2 linked regions of the Sus scrofa genome follow. The protein of the gene in region 1 purifies or fractionates together with the protein of each later gene. This does not show direct contact. Links are inferred from orthologs where the notes say so. Each region holds a gene or a part of one and is shown on either strand. Other genes may lie near its edges.

What was found. Proteins that work in one complex are often made in the same cells at the same time.
Region 2: the proteins of RHOU (region 1) and PAK1 purify together in Homo sapiens (co-immunoprecipitation; 5 studies listed by BioGRID and IntAct, with this or other methods). This does not show direct contact. The link is inferred for Sus scrofa from reciprocal best matches to the Homo sapiens genes RHOU and PAK1.

What each region holds. Positions count from the first base shown.
Region 1 is NC_010456.5:60,672,502-60,683,457, reverse strand, and holds the start of RHOU (rho-related GTP-binding protein RhoU), read left to right. Parts: upstream 1-5,875; coding exon 5,876-6,137; intron 6,138-7,689; coding exon 7,690-7,748; intron 7,749-10,956. UniProt on the Homo sapiens protein: Binds to and activates protein kinase PAK1. Plays a role in the regulation of cell morphology, cytoskeletal organization and focal adhesion assembly during cell migration. Also stimulates quiescent cells to reenter the cell cycle.
Region 2 is NC_010451.4:11,834,590-11,845,067, reverse strand, and holds part of PAK1 (serine/threonine-protein kinase PAK 1), read left to right. Parts: intron 1-3,767; coding exon 3,768-3,867; intron 3,868-5,159; coding exon 5,160-5,356; intron 5,357-8,172; coding exon 8,173-8,310; intron 8,311-10,478. UniProt on the Homo sapiens protein: Protein kinase involved in intracellular signaling pathways downstream of integrins and receptor-type kinases that plays an important role in cytoskeleton dynamics, in cell adhesion, migration, proliferation, apoptosis, mitosis, and in vesicle-mediated transport processes.

The DNA.
Region 1 (10,956 bases):
TAATATTTTTAGCACACCAAAACTCTTCCTGCTGTTCATTTTCATCTTCTGGGTTATTTCAAATTAATGAATTTGAAGGCGCACCCTTGGAGTATGAGCCTGGAATTCACTCTGTGCGCTCAAGTCTCAAAGGACAGAGTTCAAACTTTACAGAAGTGACCCCAATAGCTACCAGGCTCAGTCTATATTGCTAGAGAGGAATAGTCCAGAAGACCTCAGGCCAAATGTCTGAAATCTGGTCTTCCGCCATGCTTGGGAGGCCAGGGCTTCAGGGTCAGTCACAGATCTGCGTGGGTGTAGGAACCCCAGGGGTCACTGCTTCAGAGGTCATCCTGGTGCATCTCTCTTCCCCCCACCCCCACAGAGCCTAGGGGAGCCGGGAAGAGGGCCATGTCCCAGGGTCTGAGCACCCAGGGAGGACTCTGCCCAGGCTGGTGAGAGCAGAGTAAGAGTGATGATAACACCTCTAGCCGGACCTCCAAGACCCTATGATTTAGTGTGTGAAGTCAATGGAAAGGGTTCTCCAGACAGTGACAGCACTGTGAAGGTGACTTAAAACCTCCCAATTTTTACGGATTAGAAAGCCATCGGAATTAATGAAAGTTTAGTATTATAGAAACAAATTTCAAACAAAATATCTGATCACTAACAAGTCCTTATGTTAACAAAGGGACTGAATCAGTGTTTATGGAATTGATTTAATGAATAGATAAAATGATTTTAGATTAGCAATAAGCAAGTATGAAAATATTTCAGTAGCACATGATGTATATTCTACTTTCCAGAAGTTTTTCCCCATCCAAAAATCTGTCCTCAGGCACCTCTGACATCCAATTGCATTTAGAACATCCCATTACCCCCACCACGCTGTGCCTTGCATTACAGTTATTTTATAGATATTTTCTCTCTTACTGGAATTGTAAATCCCTTGAGGTCCAGACCCAGCTCTAAAAGCATCTGAAGAGATCACCACTGTTTTGCTTGGTCACACTAAGTTCATCAGTTGGATTCCTCCCTCTAAAGACGAAGCTAACAGCCACACTCCTTTCCCCTCCAAAATCAAACGAATGACACAATTTCAGTGTGCAGAGGCAGTATCCACCTTCTAGGACATTCTAGAGGCACACGGCAGAGAAAGCGGGCCTCCTGCTACAGCATTTCCTTCTCAAAGCCACACTTGGGCAGATTGGTATGGCATCTGGGTGTGCGCCCCTTCTTCATTCAAAGTGCTACTCTCCACTGCAAACCCAGAAATGGATTTTGACCATGATTTGAATGTGTGAGAATTCCTTTCTCTTCCCCGTTGTAGAATTATGGGCTTTTCCTTGCCCTCGACTGGGAAGATCTCAAAAAGGGAGGTAGTTGCAGTTTCTGGAAGGAAGGCAGGAAGACAATTCTATCATTTCACAGCTGCCGGCCAAGGTGATTACAGTCGTTGGGAAATGATTCCATGGTGAGGTCTTATCTTTAGGGTGGCTTAAAAATTAGAGGAGGTCAAGGTTTTGCAATAGCTAAGAGGGTTTCTAAAGAGTTCTTATCCTCTGTGGGGATTTGGGCAGCTGGAAAATGTTTGGCCTGGGGCGTTTCTGTGATGTATGTTTGGGGAGGGAAGTCGGAAGCGTATCAGTTGCTGCAAAGGTCTGGGAAGGAGGCTCTTTTATCTCAAGGGTCAGAACAGCTGGGAGGGCAGGTTGGCTGCTGCAGCAGAGTTGAGGGAATGAAATGGGGGCGTTTCTCCTCCTGGGGGATGGGCACCAGCTGGGAAGACCCAGAGCAGGGGTTTAAGGAGGAAAATTACAAAGGCTGAGAGCAGAAAGGGGCCTGCAGTATAGCTTGGCCTGCCTTGCATGCATCTGTTTTCAGCCTTCGCAGTGTTTCCAGGCTTTCTGCTCCAGTGAGCTTCCACTGCAAATTTACCTGCCATCCTCCCAATGGCCCTCCCTGGGGCTTTCATCTTTCTCCAGGAACTTATGTCTATAATTTGCCTCTTTTGTGATAATCCTCCAGGACCACTTCAATTTGTTGAACATATTAAAGCACATATAATAACACTTGCAGAAGACGATACCTTTATTAAAAATAAATATTACAGATGTAAAAAATGCACAACAGCAATTAATGATATGTGCTCCTGGGAAAGTTTTGTATAAATAGGATTTATGGTGTGATTTACTGATTTCTCCTACATTTAGGAGGACCTCCTGCAGCCCCTGCCTCGGTCAGCACTGAGATGTGGCCATAAACGGGAAAAAAAATGGGCCAAAAAGAGTGGAAGGGGCAATATTGGACATAAGAGGGCCAGATAAAAAGGGAGCAAAGCAAAGTTTGGGTTTCCAGGACACAAAAACCACTATATGGTCAGAGGTAGGAGTAGCCCCACATTTGGTTGGGCCTGAAGCTTATCAAATTTCTGGGCCTTCCTTAAGAGAAATGATAAAAATTTAAGAACAGAAAATTAAGTACAAAAAATTTTAACTTCAATGAGAAATGCATCAAAATTAGTTATAAAATTTAAGGAGTTCCCATTGTGGCACATGGGAAACGAACCTGACTAGTAACTATGAGGTTTCGGGTTTGATCCCTGGCCTTGCTCAGTGGGTTAAGGATCCGGTGTTGCCATGAGCTGTGGTGTAGGTCACAGATGTGGCTCGGATCCTGCATTGCTGTGACCATGGGGTAGGCTAGCGGCTATAGCTCTGATTCAACCCCTAGCCTGGGAACCTCCATGTGCCATGGGTGCAGCCTAAAAAGGAAAAAAAAAAAATTAAAAGGCTGACAAACACCATAAATTTCAAATACATCCACTAGAAGACACTTCAATGAACTCCCTGACATACTGTGATAACGCTATTTTTTCCTACATTTTTGTGGCTGCACTCCTCATCCTAACTTTATTAGGTATAGTTGACAAAGAAAATTGTACATATTTAAGGTGTACAACTTGATGATTTGGTATATGTATACATTGTGAAATATTCACGTGTGTGTGTGTGTGTGTGTGTGTGTGTGTGTGTGGAGAACATTGAGGATGTCCACTTAGAGATGCAAGTGTACAGGACAGTATTGTTAACTCTAGTCACACTGTGTGCAGTAGAGCTCCAGAATGTATTTATCCTGCATAACTGAAGCTGTATATCCCTTGAAGGGCACCTCCCCACATGTGCTGGGGTGCATGCCCTTTGACCTCTTTTTCAATGTTGTGGTTTTGCATTATGTTTTCCAGAGAGGAATGGAAGTGGACTTCACAGGCAGGTTTGTATCTTCACAAACACAGGACTTTGCATCAATTCTTTCGTGTGTGTGTGTGTGTGTGTGTGTGTGTGTGTTTCTAGGGCCGTACCCACAACATATGGAATTTCCCAGGCTAGAGGTGGAATCAGAGCTGCAGCTGCTGGCCTACACCACAGCCACAGCAATGCAGGATCCAAGCCGCATCTGTGACTCACACCACAGCTCATGGAAATGCTGGATCCTTAACCCACTGAGCAAGGCCAGGGATTGAATCCTCAACCTCGTGTATACTAGTTGAGTTCATTACTGCTGAGCCATGACAGGAAATCCCCACATCAATTCTATTTCCTGTGATTTCCTTCAAAAATGTATGGTGCATCTATAATTTTATATGCTGCATTTAGAGTGTATTCCTGAGTGGAGGGAGCTTCCATTTTGACCAGGTATAGAGAGAGACAAGCCCCCTCCAACAATACTGTGTGTTTTATAATGGAAAGAATTGCCACAAACACAAACTAGCTTCTGGCTTCAAGAAGCTACATCTCCAACTGTTATTGCTTTGCCACTGGACCCTCCCAATGCTGGGGAAAATGGGAAAGTCCGCTTAGATGCCAGCAGGACCCCACAGAACAGGTGTGTTACTTGCAGCCATTCCTTCACCTGGGAAATAAGGTAACTAACACGAGAATGTGTTAGAATACCACATAGGTATCAGCCATCAAGGTCAGAGTTAGGCAGAGGCAGATGAGGCCAGGGTACTCAAAGCAAGTGCCTTAGGGTCAGGCAAGCGTGAAGTTGGCCCCTTCAACTTTGCTCCCTTGGCCCCTCACCGTAGTCCTGGCTCTGCATCCATTAAACCTAAACAAATTGTCTCCCCAACTTCACTTTCCTTGACTTGATCCTCAGAATGTCCACTGCCACTCAATATGAGAAGTTAGAGCTGAAAGAGACAATGGGCTTAACCAGTGGTGGTTAAAATATGACTTTGCAGGGAGTTTCCATTGTGGTACAGCAGAAACAAATCCGACTAGTATCCACAAGGATGTGGGTTCGATCCCTGGCCTCGCTCAGTGGGTCAGGTATCTGGCGTTGCTGGGAGCTGTGGTGTAGGTCGCAGCTCAGATCCCACATCGCTGTGGCTGTGGCTGTAGCAGAGGCTGCAGCTATAGCTCCAATTTGACCCCTAGCCTGGGAATCTTAAAAAAAGAAAAAGAAAAAAAAAGTGACTTTGCAAAATTTACAGACGTATAATGGGTGTGTTCACACTGTTAGGGCCCCCAAGGCCCTGGAGACGTTCTGTGCAAATGGAAGCCTGGATTCAAGCGTGTAGCATCTTGATAGACTCACCTCTGCATTCCACCTACCGCCAAACTTTCAAGTCTGAGTTTATCACTCTGGCTTATTTTAGCTTCCTGGAGCTAGACCCTGAATCCTGACACCACCACTTCCTCGTTTGTAGACCTTGGGCATTTTATTTGATATCTCTGTGCCTCGGATTTTCTTATCCTCTACCCTTAAAATGGCTATCAGTAATGATAAAATGAAAGGAATTAATTCATGCAGAATGCTTACCAGTGTCTGGCATATAAAAAAGGCTCAATGTTTATTAGCTATTGTAATTTTTATTATTGGTTTCGCTATTCATGTTAAAAGTACGTGCCTCTTCTCACACCCCACTGTCAACCCGACGGAGCCTTTGCGGCCCGACTAGGCCCAGAAAGGCTGCCCTGTCTTTCCCCACAGACTGCTGCCTAAATGTAGGAGGAAGCCAGAGAACAAGTCAGAGAAAAATGAAAATTTCCCCCAGGTAATATTAATGTCACCAAATTATACTGAAGCAAATGAAGGAACTGGGGCTCTAAAGAAATCTCTTGGTTCATGGCGTGCCAAAGAGCAGGTCCAACAAGCATTAACAATGGACTTGGCCTTCTTTTGCTCCCAGATGATATAAGAATAGATATAAGAATACATTAGACGAAGAAAAATCACACGCTGGGCTGCAGCGAGACCTTACGATAAGAGTTGCCTGTTAGCCTCGTTCAGACGATACGTCCCCAAGACCCTCACAGCTAGCTTGGAGGCCCGGACTGGGCGGGGAGGAGGGGGCAAGGGCCACGGGGCCAGGAGGAGCTCGGGTCGCCAGCCGCGTGGCCGAAGGAAGCGGCAACGAGCGGGCCGCTCCGCGGTGGCGTCAGTTCCGTGCGTCTGGAGAAGCAGCTCTCGGCCGGTACTCCCGTCCGCGCCGCCCCCAGCGGGTGTCCGGGTCCTCACCGCGGGTGCCACGGGCCCTCGGCCTGAGGCTGCAGCCCCGCCCCCGCACGCTCGGCTCCCGCACGGGTGCAGGGGCCGGGCGCGCAGGCTGGGGGCGCTGTGGGCCCGGCGCGGGGACCGAGTGGCCGGCGGCCCCGCCTCCTCCCTTGGCGCCCGCCCCCGCGCGCAGTGTCGCCAGGCAGCCGGGAGGAGACATCGCGCCCGGGCTCCGCGCCGCTCGGCCCGCAGTCCTCGGCCGCGGAGCGGAGCCGGCGCCGCCCGAGTCCCAGCCCCGCAGCGACCCGCCCGGCCGCCTTTGTCTGGAGCCGCGCGGCCCGGAGCTGCGGCTCTCGCTCCAGTCGGTGACAGCTCCTCCGGCGGCGGGAGCGGGCCGATGCCCCCGCAGCAGGGGGACCCAGCGTTCCCGGGCCGCTGCGAAGCGCCGCCCGTGCCGCCCCGCCGGGAGCGCGGGGGGCGCGGGGCGCGCGGGCCCGGGGTGCCGGGGGGCCGAGGGCGCCCGGGCGGCAGCGAGGGGCGCGGCGTCAAGTGCGTGCTGGTCGGCGACGGCGCGGTGGGCAAGACGAGTCTGGTGGTGAGCTACACCACCAACGGCTACCCCACCGAGTACATCCCTACCGCCTTTGACAACTTCTCGGGTGAGCGGGGCGGGGGGGCATGGGCGGCGCGGGGCCGGCCCAGAGAGGAAGCGGACGATTCCCGAGCTTCGGTGCCGGGACCGCGCGGGGCAAACGGCGGGACCGCGGGGAAGCCGGAACCCGAACCCGGAGCCCGAACCCGGGCACGAGGACTGGAGGGCGCCTCGCCATTTAGGAGCAGAAGGCGGGACCTCACAGGTCGCGCCCAGGTGGCCTGGTCAGTTTCCTGCGGCTAGAAGTTGCGTCAGGTCGATGTTGCTGGCGCTGCTGCAGTTTCGATCAGAAGGTGACGCGCAGGTGCCATTACCTGTGGCCCTGAGGGTCCATCCTTTTCTGTCAGTGGCTCCCTTACCAGGCAGCGTCGTCACTTTAAAGAGCAGCGGAGACGAAGGAAGAGAATGGATTTGGTGGAAATGGCACTAGGGGTCCTGGAAAGGCTGAGGTTTGGATTAAAGCTGGAGAGTAAACATTTCTCTCCTCAGAACCTCACCCCCACTTCCCTCGCTTCCACCTCCCCGCTTGACTGTGTTTCTGACTATTGGTATCTTTTCGCTATCTAATTAGGCTGCTCGCTTCTCTGTACAGGATGCTATGATACTTGGTTTGGTATCTACGAAGATAAAGGAATCCTTAACACTGGTTTTTCAAGTCTTTATGAAATTTAAGAAAAAGTTAAAATCTACAGACACCAGTCTGAAACACTTTCTCTTGCTCTTAAAAGTTTCCTGATGTTTTAGAAAGTCACAGTGGCAAGGTCTTGCTTTCATCCACCTGGAAGTTCCCCTAAGTAAAAACAGTGCTGTGCTGGTGGGTTTCCCACCTAAATGATATTGTGCTTTTTTTTTTTTTTCTTTCTTTTTTCCCTCCCAACTGACTGGTATAAACATTTATATAAACAATTTAGAAAGTTGCATTGAAAGGAAGCTGAGTGCTTCACTCACATAAAGACCTCAGAGCAGTATCCTGATGCAGGCCCCTCCCCAGTCACCTCTTCCCAGTGGAAAGGTGGCCATGGCTTTCTTTCCTTTTCTCTCTTAATCCTCTCTTTGAGCTGACATGAAGAGATAAGCAGAGGCCTCTTATAAACAGGACAACACTGGCAGCCTGTGTTTGCACATGTTCTCAAAAAAGCTACACTTTTATGATAAACCCCAAAGATGCCCAGCGTTTCCCAAGGGAAAACAGAAGTATTCGTGAGGTTTTCCACTGACTTAGAACTGCAAGTTCCCAATTACCCCCAGTGTTGTTTTTAAGTTCTTTTAAACAAGTGCAACAAGAAAATACGTCTTCTAGGTCTGGGAGGAAAGCGCAGGCCCTTCTGGGATGTTGTTAAAGGCTCTGAGCTTTGCTGCCTCCTCTGTGACAATGGAGATTTGTACAGAGAAGTGCCTCCATGGGGTCTCCTTGTTTTAGGTAAGCCTTGAGCTGGCTAAGGGATCCAGAGTAGGAGCTGAAGGTTTAGAGTAAGAATGGTCATGCAAGCTAAAACTATTTTTCTTCTGAAGAGAGTTAAAAGACACCCCCTGATAGTCATTTTGTTCTTATTTTTAAGCTGTGGTGTCTGTGGATGGGCGGCCTGTGAGACTCCAGCTCTGTGACACCGCAGGACAGGTCAGTATCACATCACTGCTCAGTGCTGGACAAGGAAATGGCCTTTGAAAGACCTTCAAGTAACAGCCCCATAACTGGGCCGTTCTAAAGCCCCACCCCTTTCTTTGGCCCCTCTCAGAGGGTGGGGTGGGGGGAGATGGCGCTGCACTAATAAAAGAGGGTTTGGCCCAACTTTGTGTGGGCAGGACAGGGGAAAATGGGGTCAAGAGCAGTTCTTATCTTAGGGGAGTTTCTGATCTTATTTACTTTCTGGTTTTTATTAAAAATGATCAATGATGCTTTGTAATCATTTCTCCAAGTAAGTTGGTGATATAATTATTAAAGGCCAAACAAGCCAAATACTTAAGAAACGTACTCAAGAAAAGGATGGAGCTTATGTCAGTAGCTGTTACTATTTCCCCTCCCAGGTGTGGTTGGACTCACTAGGGCACCCCCAGCCATTGAAGCAGAGGTGCAGTGGTCCAGGATGACCTAAGCTAGAGGGATGAATGAGCTGGAACTTGGTCTTTCTGAATTTATTCTGGTCTTGAGGGCCAGCCACTTGGAGGAGACAGCCGGGGGATGATGGGGAGAACCCATGTGAAGTCCCCTTTGGAGTGTCCCCAGAGAGCTCCAGGGGCCCTAGTCCCCTGCACAGTGCCCACGTTACGGAGTTCTCACTGTGCTCTGTGAGAACCCTGGGTGCTATCTCTTGAGTTTGCCAAAGTGACAGTTAATAAGCATGTAGTCCCTCCAATGCTTGCTGGAATTCATGAAAGTGTGGGGGTACTTCCTTGGCAGGTAAGAGTGCCCATTTCACTTGAGGTATCACATGACCACGTGCATTTAAGAAGCAGCTGGCTTTCTAGAATGAGTCCCCAAGTGCCTCATTCAAATCAGGGCTTCCAGGTCACTTACCTGCTCCAGGACCGCAAATTCAGGGCTTTATTTCTCAAACCTCGAGGTACACGACTGGGTGACCCAGTCCCCAGCTGAATGTCAGTGTGGTGATGGTCACAATGGCTTGTCATAGCCCCACCTCTTCTGTTCTGTCTTTGCCCTTCTACTGGGGCTCCTTAGCCCTCACTTTTACCAGGATCAGAAACAACCCACCAGTCTGTGAAAAAGAAAAATCAAAGAACACAGGGTCTTCTAATACTTAATCTTTCAGGGTGCCCTGCTGCTATTTATAATTAAAGCTTAATTGTTTTGTATAAAGTGAGAATGTTTTTCCTACTTAGGGTCAGATTTTCTGATCTTGAAAATGAGGGTTGGGTAGCACCTCAATAAACAGAGGGCTCCCCCCTGGAGCAAGAAGTGGCAGCTAAACAGCCTAAGAATAAGACAGAAGGCAGGAAAACATAAGGCACCAAACTGCACGCTTCTCTGAGACCCTTTAGAGAGAGCACGTGGCCATGCCCTCCCCAAAGGGTTGCCTGTCAGGCCTTGGTTTTCCTGGCAGACACAGCTTTCAGGGCTGGGGTTCTCTGCCTAGTGCCCCCTCAGTGCCTGCACATCCTGGGGTTTAATCATGGTTTGTAGAATGGATCAGTAAATGGATGGAGTGTTAGGTCCTGAGGAATGCAAACTTCAGTCATGGGTCTGTCCATCAGCAGATTTACAGTCTGTAGGGAAGACGAACCAGTTAGTAGAACTTGAGAAAGAAGTTACAGAAAGAATAAGGCAGCTTCAGCTGGAGGGGCAGGATGGATAGACCTGGGGGGAAATCTCTGAGCAGTTTTGAAAGAGGAATGGGATTTTTACCAGAAGAACTTTGTAGGAATGATCCTGAATTATCAGAGTTTGATTTTTCTCAAGTATGATCTGTTTCAAAGTCAAAGAATCAAAAGAATCATTTTATAAATATTTTCATGAAAAAAGTTTATCATTAGGGAAATAAAATGATTCTGGTGCAAGTTGATAAGCTTTGGTTTATTTGGAAATTATTCTTCTAGTCTCCCAGCAGTGTTTTCATTGAGATTCACTGTATTTCTTGATGGATGTTCTGGTTAGTAAAGTATGCTTTATTGTGTAGCCGCCTTCTATAGATTTGTAGAAAATCAAATTCAGAAATTAGTTATAAAAAATACACAGCTGGTAAGATAAAAGTAGCTTGTCCTCTGCTTCTAAAGTATCAATTAGTATTTGTTTTGACCATCAGCAAAGCTGGTCAAGATGGCATCCTTTTCTGCCCTCCTTACTCCAGATCTGATCAACTACTTTTTAAGGGACTTGGGTTAGCATATTTCCTTGGCATCGTCCCAGCCAGTGGCAACCCCCCCTCCAGGCAGTCCTCATGGTGGCCTCGTGGATAAACTGACTCGAGCCACCTCCATTCTAAACTCCCGGGAATGTGAACACAGGTAGCGTAGCCTGGGGACCAGACTCACGTTTCACATAGCCCCTGAGAGCAAGCATAGCGCTCTGCTGGCTGGATGAGTAGCTAGAAATTGCTTCTTGTGCCTTGGGGTTTCCTGTTGGGGTCTCAGTGAGTATATGAGATGTGAGGAGGAGTTTTTAACGCTAGACTTACCATCTTACTCAAGTGAAATTCCATCACATGGAGGCCTTGAAGAAACCTACCTTTGCTGTAGAGAAAGCACCCTCCCTGAAACAGGAGCAGTGCACTGTAGCCTTGCCAATAGCAGCTGAAAACTCTTCAGCCTTTTGACTCAGGAAGCACTTGGGAAAATCTTTGCTCTTAAAAAAAAAGAAAAGAAAAAGTCTGATTGAAGCTTGACCAACACTGCTCTCCAGCCAGCCTGGCCCTGAATCTCTGCACCATCTCAGAGTCGCATGCAAATCTCTGGGCCTCAGAACATGTTTCCTGGAGGGTACATTCCAGTTGGCCTCATCACATGTATGTGTGTTGCACTTGTTTCAGCAAATATCTAAGGTTTCTGGTCAGGCAGTGAGCAGAGGGGTTTAATGTCTGCCCTGTTTCCCGAGTCCCTAAGCCAGAACCTCGAGAGGTCTGTGGACTCCTGTCACGGGGCCCAGCCCTGTGCTTGCCTTTCTTTTTATTGGTAATGCAACCCCAGATTCCAGGGCACAGCCAAGTGTGATGCCTTCCAGCATTGAGGGGCAGTGAGGGGGGGGGGCGGGGGGGTGCTGACTTTACACTGTTTTGTGCTTCTTCCTTTCAGGCCTCTGAGAACAGAGGGAGCGTTTCATTAAAAGATCTTTGGGGCTGGGCCACCTGGTTAGGATTCTGTGTTTATTCTTTCAG
Region 2 (10,478 bases), on another chromosome or scaffold:
ATGAAAGATAATGTGAGAAAAAGAGTGTATGTGTGTATATGACTGGGTCACTTTGCTGTACAGCAGAAATTGACAGAACAATGTAAATCAACTATAATAAAATTTTTTAGAAAGGTAACTATATTCTGATTATAAAATTATATGCCCATTGTAGAAAAATTAGAAGGTTCGATATATATATATGTAAATTTGTATATCATATATAAAATCACTTATAATTTCAACTTCTTAAAAAAAGTACTGTTATGAACTCTTATTTTCCTTTATTCCTCTTATATGGGTATATATTTTAATCATATTTTTATTCTGCTTTTCTGCTTATTCATGTGCTGTGAAGGAAATACAGCAGAGTAAGAAGGTACAGAGGAGTCTATTTCAGACAGAGTAGTCAGGAAAGGTTTTGCCACAGATTTGAGTAAAGATCTGAATATGAAAAGCAAGCCATGTAGAAATCTAGGGTAAAATATTTCCAGGCAAAAGAAATAGAAAAAAAGCTTAAATAGGTATTCTTTTTCTCCTCATTGATATTAAATGTCTGAAGTCTTTAAAATGCTGGCATAAGAAGGAAAAATAAAACCCCCCACAAGGCCTCCATAAAAAGTAGTGTTCTCAGGAGAAAGCCACATCTTCATTAGAGCAAGAAGATGAAGGGAGTATCCGGAGAAGTTGAGCATATTGGGTGCTTTGCTGGAAAGAGCCTGTAACTTTCTGACAGCTTAATAATAGAAAAGTTTGGGAATTAGGGGAAGAATAGAAGATTAGGCTCAGAGTTTTATGGGGTGAGTCTGCTTAGGGTTTGGTGATACAAGATTCGGAGACATACAGATGAAGTTATGTAGTTTTATAAATATTAATATTAGGGAAAATAAAGTCATGTGAAATACACTGTCCTAGAAAATATGATCACCTTTGCATTAAAAATGCTGGGATCTAGAACACCCCCCACACACCCACACACATAGTGGAATTAACACAAGCCTAGGAGTCTTAGGTACTTTGCTGTACCACTAGAGCAGTGTTTCTCAACTTCTGTTTCATTACCTTCCCTCCCTCACCAGGAGCCTTTTAAGGCATTTTTTCAGACTCACATTTTCCCCATGACATTTAATACTATCAGTATACTGTATGTTAGTTTATACATATATACTGTGGATCTTTGGAAAGCCGCAGTTACTGTAATATCTAAGATGTTTTTCTTCACCCCAGGAATGCTGAGCTATGCTGGTTGAGAATATATATGTGTGCTTTGGGAAACCAATATGCCTCAAGTGATGACTGACTGATTTGGGCTGCACCTGTAGCATGCAGAAGTTCCTGGGCCAGGGATCAAACCTACACCATAGCAGCATCCTGAGCCACTACAGTGGCAAAACTAGATCCTTAACATTCCGAGCCACCAGAGAACTCGGGTGATTTATCTTTAAAATAGGAACTGCGACATTCACACTGTATATACCTTAGGAGTACCACATGGATTAAAAGGCATTTAGAAAGACATTGAAATGTTACCTAAATAAGTGGCATTACCGTTATTTTTAAGTTCTAGGAGAGATAATTCCCCTTTTTGAGAATACCTTTATTGAGATATAATTTACATACTATATTATTCACCGATTTAAAGTGTATAATTTAATGGATTTTAGTATATTGAGTTATAGCCATTACCATAATCAATTTTAGAACATTTTCATCATCCTAAAAAGAGACTCCATATTCAGAAGTCACTCCCCACCTACCCGTTTCTCAGCCCTCCCACCAATGCAACCACTAATCTGTTTTCTCTATCTATACATTTACTTGTGCCAGGCATTTCATATAAGTGAAATCACACAGTGAATGCTCCTGACTGGCTTCTTTTGCTTACAATAATGTTTTGAAGTTTCATCCTTTTATTAGCAAATAAGATTCCTTTTTTTAATCTGTCCATCAACTGATGGATATTTGCGTCGTTTCCACTTTTTGGCTATTATGTACAATGCTGTGAACATTTGTGTACAAGTTGTTGGTTGGATGTCTGTTTCCATTTTTCTTGGATATTTGCGTAGGAGTGGAACTTCTCGTTGTAGAGCAACTTCATGTTTAACATTTTCCTGATCAGCCAGTTTTCCAAAGTGGTTGTACTGTTTTATATTCCCACCAACGGTGTATGAAGGATCCAATTTCTTGAAATCATCCTTTTTTATCATAATTTTTGATGTCCAAAGGCCAGCGTCTCTTGCTTCTTAGGAAAGCAACTCTTTACTTTTCCAGGAAGAAAAACCACTCTGGCTATTGTTTGTTTTTAATTTAACCATTACTTTGTTCTTAGAAAATGAAGTATTGGGAGTTCCCGTTGTGACTCAAGGACATGGTGTCCTTGAGGATGTGGGTCCGATCCCTGGATTAAGGATCCAGTGTTGCTGCAAGCTGAGCATAGGTCACAGATGTGGCTTGGATCTGGTGTTGCTGTGACTGTGGTGTAGGCTGCAGCTGCAACTCTGATTCGACACCTAGCCCAGGAACTTCTATATGCTGCAGGTGCTACCTTAAAAAGAAAAATTTTTTTTTTAATTTTAAAAAGAAAGTGAAATATTGAGGACATTTAAATAGTATTTTCTGATTAGTTTGCATCATTAGTATTTTTTAATTGGTAGAAGCCTCTAAAATTTTAGCCTTGGGGTATGAACTTAAAACTAGTTGATTTAATAGTAACCCTGAGAGTATCCTTTCTGATCCCCCACGTTTTACAGATGGGAAAACAGTAGCCCAGAGAGAGTGAGAGATTTCTCTAGAATAATATTATTGGTCAGTACCAGGCATTTTCATTGTTCCATTCAGTCTCTGCATTACTCATTCTGCCTGCTAAGCCTGGGTGTTTTCCAAGGTTCTTTTCTTTCTCTTCTTATCATCTATAACATTTTCCAGTTCTAACCGTTACTATAACTTTAAAAAAAAATTACCTCTTCACAAATGATTATAAACGTTTGTCCAGACCTCTGTACAGAACTCAAGACTCACATCTTCATTTGCCTCCTGGACGTTTGTCTGCAGATATTTATAGGAATATAAAGTTCAGCATATCCAAAACAGTACAAATTTATCTCCTCACCAAAATAAGATTACCATTCTAAGTTCTCTGCTTCCATTTTTCTAGTTTCCCAAATGTGACTTTTTTGCGAAAGTTCTTGGGCCAGAGGTCAAACCCAGGCCACAGCTGTAATCAGAGGCACAGCTGTGACAATGCCAGATCCTTAACCTGCTGAGCGATGAGAAATCTCTGGAAATGTGACTCTTATTTGTGGCTTTCCTCTAGTTTTTTCATTATAAAATTCTTTCTGTTTTTCCTCAGTCCTTTTTCTTTTTCTTTCTTTCTTCTTTTTTTTTTTCTTTTTTTTTTTGTTTGTTTGTTTGCCTCACGTCCTTTGTCAGGGATCTGATGTTCTGTAAAGAACTCTAAAATACTTTGGAGGGAGTGTTTTACTTCAAACTATAATGAGATATAATATGAGATGATATCAAATAAGGTTTAACTATAATAAGATTGTGATATATAATCAGGTCTGTAAAAAGAAAGGTATAAGGTAGCATGGAGTGTTAAAAGAATGCTTAGGAGACAAGAGACTAGGTTCTAGACCTGCCTCTTCCACTGATTTACACACTGGAGCAAGTCTTTTACACACTGAGACCTCACTTTTGTTATAAAATGAGAAGGTTGGAATAGTGATTTTTTTGTAAGCTTTCATATTATATGTCCTTTTTTTCTCCCTCTGCCCACATTGCTTCAATAGTGCCTGCAGGCTTTGGAATTTCTGCATTCAAATCAAGTTATTCATAGAGACATCAAGAGTGACAACATCCTGTTGGGAATGGATGGCTCTGTCAAGCTAAGTGAGTAGGAGTGGTAACACCTCTCTTCGCTGTGGGACCCTGTCTCTTCTGGGATGGTAACCATGTGAGAGTAGCTACAAGGTTCACCATAGAATCTTTATTTCCTCTAGTATGCAGGTACTTCATATTACTCAGCACTATATGGAATGTCATTTTTTTTCTCACTCATTTATGCATTCAGCCAAAAAATTTATACATGCTAGGTCCTGTGATGGATACCAAGGATATTTGGCCTGTACTCAAGGAGTTCTCAGCCTAGTATGGCTGTGCATGTGCAGTGTAGACAAAATACATAATTAAAAAAAAATTTGTGTAATTTCTTTCATTCAGTCGTTCATTCAGCAAGCTTTTGTTAAATGTGTATCACATACTGGGCCTATTGTGAATGGAGAAAAAATGAGTAAGAAGACAGTCCTTCCTATTGAAGGCCTCATAATTAAATAAACATAACTGCAATATACTGTGAATGAACTGCAGGACGAACATTTTGTTCAAAAGTGTAAGGGCTGTGGTGCAGACAAACAGGTTGTGTCGCAGTAGATGGGAAGACGGTTAGCAGCCTCTGTCATAGGGCACAGGGTGAGGAACTGATAAAAGCAGGGCCGTGCCTGGGCGCAGGTAAATTGGATTTAAGTCTGGGACTTATGCCCAGGAAATAAAGCAACCTGGTTACCAGATCCTAGGGCATGAGAGTGGTTTTCAAGAAGAAAACAGAGGGGGGAGGGATAAATTAGGAGTTTGGGATTAACACATACACACTACTTTATATAAAATAGTAATAAACAAGGACCTACTGTATAGCACAGAGAATTCTACTCAATACTCTGTAATAACATATATGGGAAAAGAATCTGAAAAAGAATGGATGTATGTATAGCTGACTCACTTTGCTGTGTACCTGAAACTAACATAACATAAATCAGCTATATTTTAATAGAAAATAAAAATTTTTTAAAAAGCCATCCAAAAAAAGAAAGAAGAAAGCAGGGTTTGGGCAAGTAGTCAAGGTCAGAATGGGCAGCTTGACTTTTAATACCTAGTCCTTCCAGTTTGAGGAGGGGTGGGAGGCCAGAGACGATGTTTGTTATGTTTCTCCTTGAAAGGTGAACAGAAGACAGGCTAGGGGCTGGACATGGAGGTGGCAGTTTCGTGACTCCAGGTTTGGAAAGACAAGGGATGCAGTGGCTAGGACCCAGGCAGAGCCTGACACCTAGGGGTAGGCACATAGTCAATACATACAGAAGGAATACTCCACATATAAATTCTTTCTGTCGTTTCTTTTCCTTTTCTAGCTGATTTTGGATTCTGTGCCCAGATCACCCCAGAGCAGAGCAAACGGAGCACCATGGTGGGAACCCCATATTGGATGGCACCAGAGGTTGTAACTCGGAAGGCCTATGGACCCAAGGTTGACATTTGGTCCCTGGGCATCATGGCCATTGAAATGATTGAAGGGGAACCCCCATACCTCAATGAAAACCCTCTGAGAGTAAGTGTTACTAGTTCCATATCAAGATGTTTGGGCTTTTGGCTTTCTATTTTTGGATAAAACTAGGTGCTGTTGAACTTAAAGTATAAATGCCTAAAGAGAACATTTATTAGTAGTCATTCATTCATTTTCAGTGATTATTTGAGTTCCTATAATGTGCAAGAAACTGTTCTAATGATAATAAAACAAATTAGTCTCTAGTAACAGAAGATAAGTGCTATGGAAAAAAGGCAGGGAAAGGGGCTTAAGAGAGTAAAGGGGGAAAGAGGGAGAAGTGTGCTGTTTTATTCTGGGCAGAGAATGAAGTCCTCTCTTGTAAGTTATTTGCACAGAAACCTGAAGAAAATAAAGAAGTGAGCCATGAGGTTAATCTAACACAAGGGTTTTCCAAGTATCAGGTATACAAAGAACTAATTTTGAGAACATGCTTGATGTAGCCTGAGGAAAATCAAGGAGACCAGTCTCCTTGTGGTGAGTGAGCAGAGTAGCCAAGGTCAGATCTCCTAAGACCTTGTGGCCATTGTGGGAACTTGGTTTTTATTCTGTGAGAGATTGGAAGCCATTGGAGGATTTTGAGCTCAGGAATAATATAATCTGACTAATGTTGTAAATGAATCATTTGGGTGCTTTTTTGAAAATAGACTGTGAGACTGTTGTAATTGTTCACACGAGAGTGATGGTTGAAACTACATTGTCAAGACTAGAAGGAAGAGTAGTTGGACTCAGAAAATATCTTGAATGTATAGCTGACAAGCTGAAGGGGATATCAGGGAAAGAGGAATCAAAAATAAATATGAGATTTGGGGCCTTCATTGCAGAGAATTCACTTGCCATTTCCTGAGAAGTATGAAGAACAGGTAAAGTGGATAATAAGAGTTGGTTCTGACTGTGTTAATTTGAAATGTTTATTAGATATCAACGTGGAGATTCTGATTAGAATTGGGCATAAGAGTTCAGAATTCAAGGGGTAGAGGTCAGGACCATAAATATAAATGTATTACTAGGTATTATATGGTTGGTTTATTTAAAAATCAGAGCTAGGTGATAATGAGATCCCTCACCTCAGGAGTGAGGTGTGAGTCCTGAGACCTGGGATACTCTCCTGCTTACAGGCTGGAGGAACTAGCAGAGTAGACTGATGAGTGGCCTTTCTGGTAGAAGGAGAACTGAGAGAAGTGTCCTGGAGGCCTCTTAGGAGGAGAAGGTGTTTTGAGAAGGAGGATGGATCACTGTGTCAGATGTGACGGACAGGTTGCATTAACACTAGGAAATGGTCATTAGATTTGCCAGTGTGAAAGTTATCGATGACCTTGAGAATCAGTTTCATTGGAGTGATGGAAATGAAAGCCTAATTAGAATAAATCCATCAGAGTGGAAGAGGTTGAGGTGGCATGTATAAACAGTTGGTTTTATTTTTATTTTTTAAGTTTTGCTCTTAAGGTAACAGAAATGGAGCAGTATTTTGAAGTGGCATCAGGGGAGGGTTATTGTGGGTTTTTTTGAAGATGTTACTATGTCATGCTTTTGTGCTGATGGGAGTGATCTAGTGGAGAGGAGGAAAATGGTCATGTACAAGAGAGAAGCGACTCTGTAGGGATGATGCTGCTAAGTAGATAAGAGGGGTTGGATCAAGCACTGAAGCAAAGAGCATTAGATTAGAATATGGACAATTTTTCGTTGTAATAGGAGAGGGAAAGCAGTATGTGAATACACCTGTATGTAGGTTGATGATTTTGATCATGGGCAAATATGAGAGTTATTCTGATTGCTTTTATTTTGTTATTTATTCCAACCTCCTATTTAATGCAGGAATACCCTGTGCATTGTTGCTGACGGCAGTCATCTAATCTTAGCTGGATACCTCTAGGATAGCCCTGATTATTGGAATGTGCTTAATGTATCAAACTGAAACTACCTTCTGTAGTTTCTGCCCTTGGCTCCCAGTTTTGCCCTATGAATCCACATACCACTCATCTTCCTTCACCTCAGAGTGGCCTTGAAAATGATGATCAGTACAGTGTGATGCAAATAAGACTGGGATTAAAGTCAGAGAACAAGAGCTTGTACAAACAGCATGATCCCAGGCATATCTGTTTATGTTCCTGGCCTTATCCGTGAAATGGGGATGATAATTCTTGCCCTGCTTACTACCCAGAGTTATTGTGGTCATTAAATTAGATAGTAAGTAGTTGTGTCAACACTTTATGAATGAAAGTGCTAAGTGCTTGAAAAGGTTTAGTACGGGTAAGTTTTTACCTTTCCCAGGAGATGCTTTATGTGAGGGGACCAAGGTGGCACAGTGAAACAGGTTGCTCCTTTACAGAATACTTTCTTTAAATATTCCTTTCCTGCTGGAAGAGATCCGTTTTTAGATGCCTGTGGCAAAGGCACCAGGAATAATTTCCTTTGGCAAATGTGCAGATGTTTAACTCATCAGGTTGAATAAATAATAATAATAAACCATTTAGATCTATAATCAGGAATAATAATAAACCCTTGGGTCTGTAACACATTTCGTAAGCTTGCAAAATGCTTTCAGTGTACTGTTTTGTTTTATTTTACAGACATAGGAAATAGGCACCATTATTGTCCCTGTTTTACAGATAAGGAAGTTGGGAGTTCACTGGCTTGCACATGGTCACATGGCCTTTAAATATTAAGTGTGACCCTTAGGTATATTCTCTCCGTATCAATATACCAGAGCTGCCTCTTTGTGTTCAGGAGGCAGAAAGCAACTGACCATATTTCTAGAGGGCCTGTCTGAGGACCGAGAGACCCAGTTGGAGCCTAAAGCATTTCTCTATTTACATTACCAGGCCTTGTACCTCATTGCCACCAATGGGACCCCAGAGCTTCAGAACCCAGAGAAGCTGTCAGCTATCTTCCGAGACTTTTTGAACCGCTGTCTTGAGATGGATGTGGAGAAGAGAGGTTCAGCTAAAGAGCTGCTACAGGTAACTGTCCATATGCAGGGAAGTACCTAATTTGAAGAATCACTAAACCAAGGCTTTTTTGGGGGTTCCTGCCATGGCACAGATGATTAAGAATCTGATTTGCAGTGGCTCAGGTCACTGCAGAGGTGCGGATTCGATCCCCGGCCCAATGTAGTGGCTTAAAGGATCTGGCACTGATGCAGCTGCAGTGTAGGTCACAGCCGTGGCTCACATTCAGTCCCTGCCCAGGAACTTCCAAGTGCCACAGGTGAGGCCATTAAAAACAACAGCAGCAAAAGATCACCCAAGGCTTTTTTGATTCATTTTTGTCTGTGAGGTACTAGCTGTTATAGAACTAGACTTTCCTCCTACCACATTCAACACTCAAATTGTATTCCTAGTTCCCTCATCCTCTTCATCCCTGGCCCTTGGTCATTCTCTTAGGCTCTTCCTCAGCCTATTAAAACTCTGTGCATTCTCGTAGGCTTCATCTTATAGAGCTACTTTCTGAGCTCCTATTGAACTTTGCTTGTATCTTCCTTTGGTGCTGTTTTGTTCTGCCTGAATTATTTTGGCAGAGTTTGAGTCTTGGTGAGAAGCAGCTCTTTGATGTGCAAATCTTAAACAATTTTATTTTATTGGGATAATCTCAAAAGATAGATGTTCAGGAGTTCCCCAGAGGTCTAGTGGTTAAGGATCTGTCATTGTTAGCACTGTGGTGCAGGTTTGGTCCGTGGCCTGGGAACCTCTGCATGCCACAGGCATGGCTAAAAAAAATTTGATTTTCCGTAAGGGATATCAGAGGGCATTAGTTTGGAGGATAAATAGTACAGCTTTTCAAGTCTTCCCAGTTTCTTCATTGGAAACCCTCTCAGATTGTGGGAATGATATTCTGCTTGTTTGGAGTAAGATCCTGCCAGATTGTGGGGAATCTGAGTTGGGGGATTACTAAAGCTTTTATATTCCACTGCTTAATGTCAAAATTACAGCGTAATTATTTCATAGTTGTAAGAACTGCTTTTAGCTGGCCATATTATTTGTATTTAACATTTATGTCTCAAGTACAATTTCTCATAGTGCCGTTTTGCTACATTGCCAACTGATGATTTAGTTTAAATGTCACATGCAACTCAGTGATAGTGAATAATCTATAGACTATTAATCATGTAGTATGAAGACCAGAGCAACTGAGTCGGGCAGGGCAGGACCTACCATACTGCCTCACATTAAAGTTAGCTGTGAACAGTTCTCTTTTTTTTACTAGATTATAACCTCCATATTAATCTCTGAGTTTCCTTTTCTACCTGGGACCTAACTCAAAATAGATTCCATCGTGGCGCAGTGGTTAACGAATCCGACTAGAACCATGAGGATGCTCATGGTTGTAGTGGGAGAAAACATTTGGAAATGATATAACCAATAAAGGGTTAATATCCAATATATAAAAACAGTTCATACAACTCAACAACAGCAAAAAACAAATACCCTAATTAAAAAATGGGCAGAAGACCTAAATAGATATTTTCCAAAGAGGAAATGCAGGTGGCCAATAGGCTTATATGAAAATATGCTAATCATCAGGGAAATGCAAATCAAAACCCACAGTAAGATATCACCTCACACCTGTCAGAATGGCTGTCATCAAAAAGAACACAAATAGCAATGTTGGCAAGGATGTGGAGAAAGGGAGCCCTAGTACACTGTTAGTGGGAATGCAAATAGATGCAGCTATTATGGATAAACAGTATGGAGCTTCCTCAGGAGACTAAAAATGGAACTATCTTATGATCCAGCAATTCTACTTCTGAGTATATATCTGAAGAAAACAAAAACTTTAATTTGAAAATATATATGTGCCAGTTGTTCATAGCAGCATTAATTACAATGCTAAGATATGGAAGCAATCTAAATGTCCCTCTGCAGATGAACAGATAAAGAAGATGTGGTGTGTGTGAATGTATACACACACATACACACAGTGGAATACTACTCAGCCATAAATGAATGAAATCTTAACATTTGCAATAAGATGGATGAATATGGAGGGTGTTATGCTAGGTGAAATAAGTCAGAGAGAACAAATACTGTGTGATATCACTTATATGTGGAATCTAAAAAATAAACTAGTGAATATAACAAAAAAGAAACAGGCTGGGAGTTCTCTTGTGGTACAGTGGGTTAAGGATCCA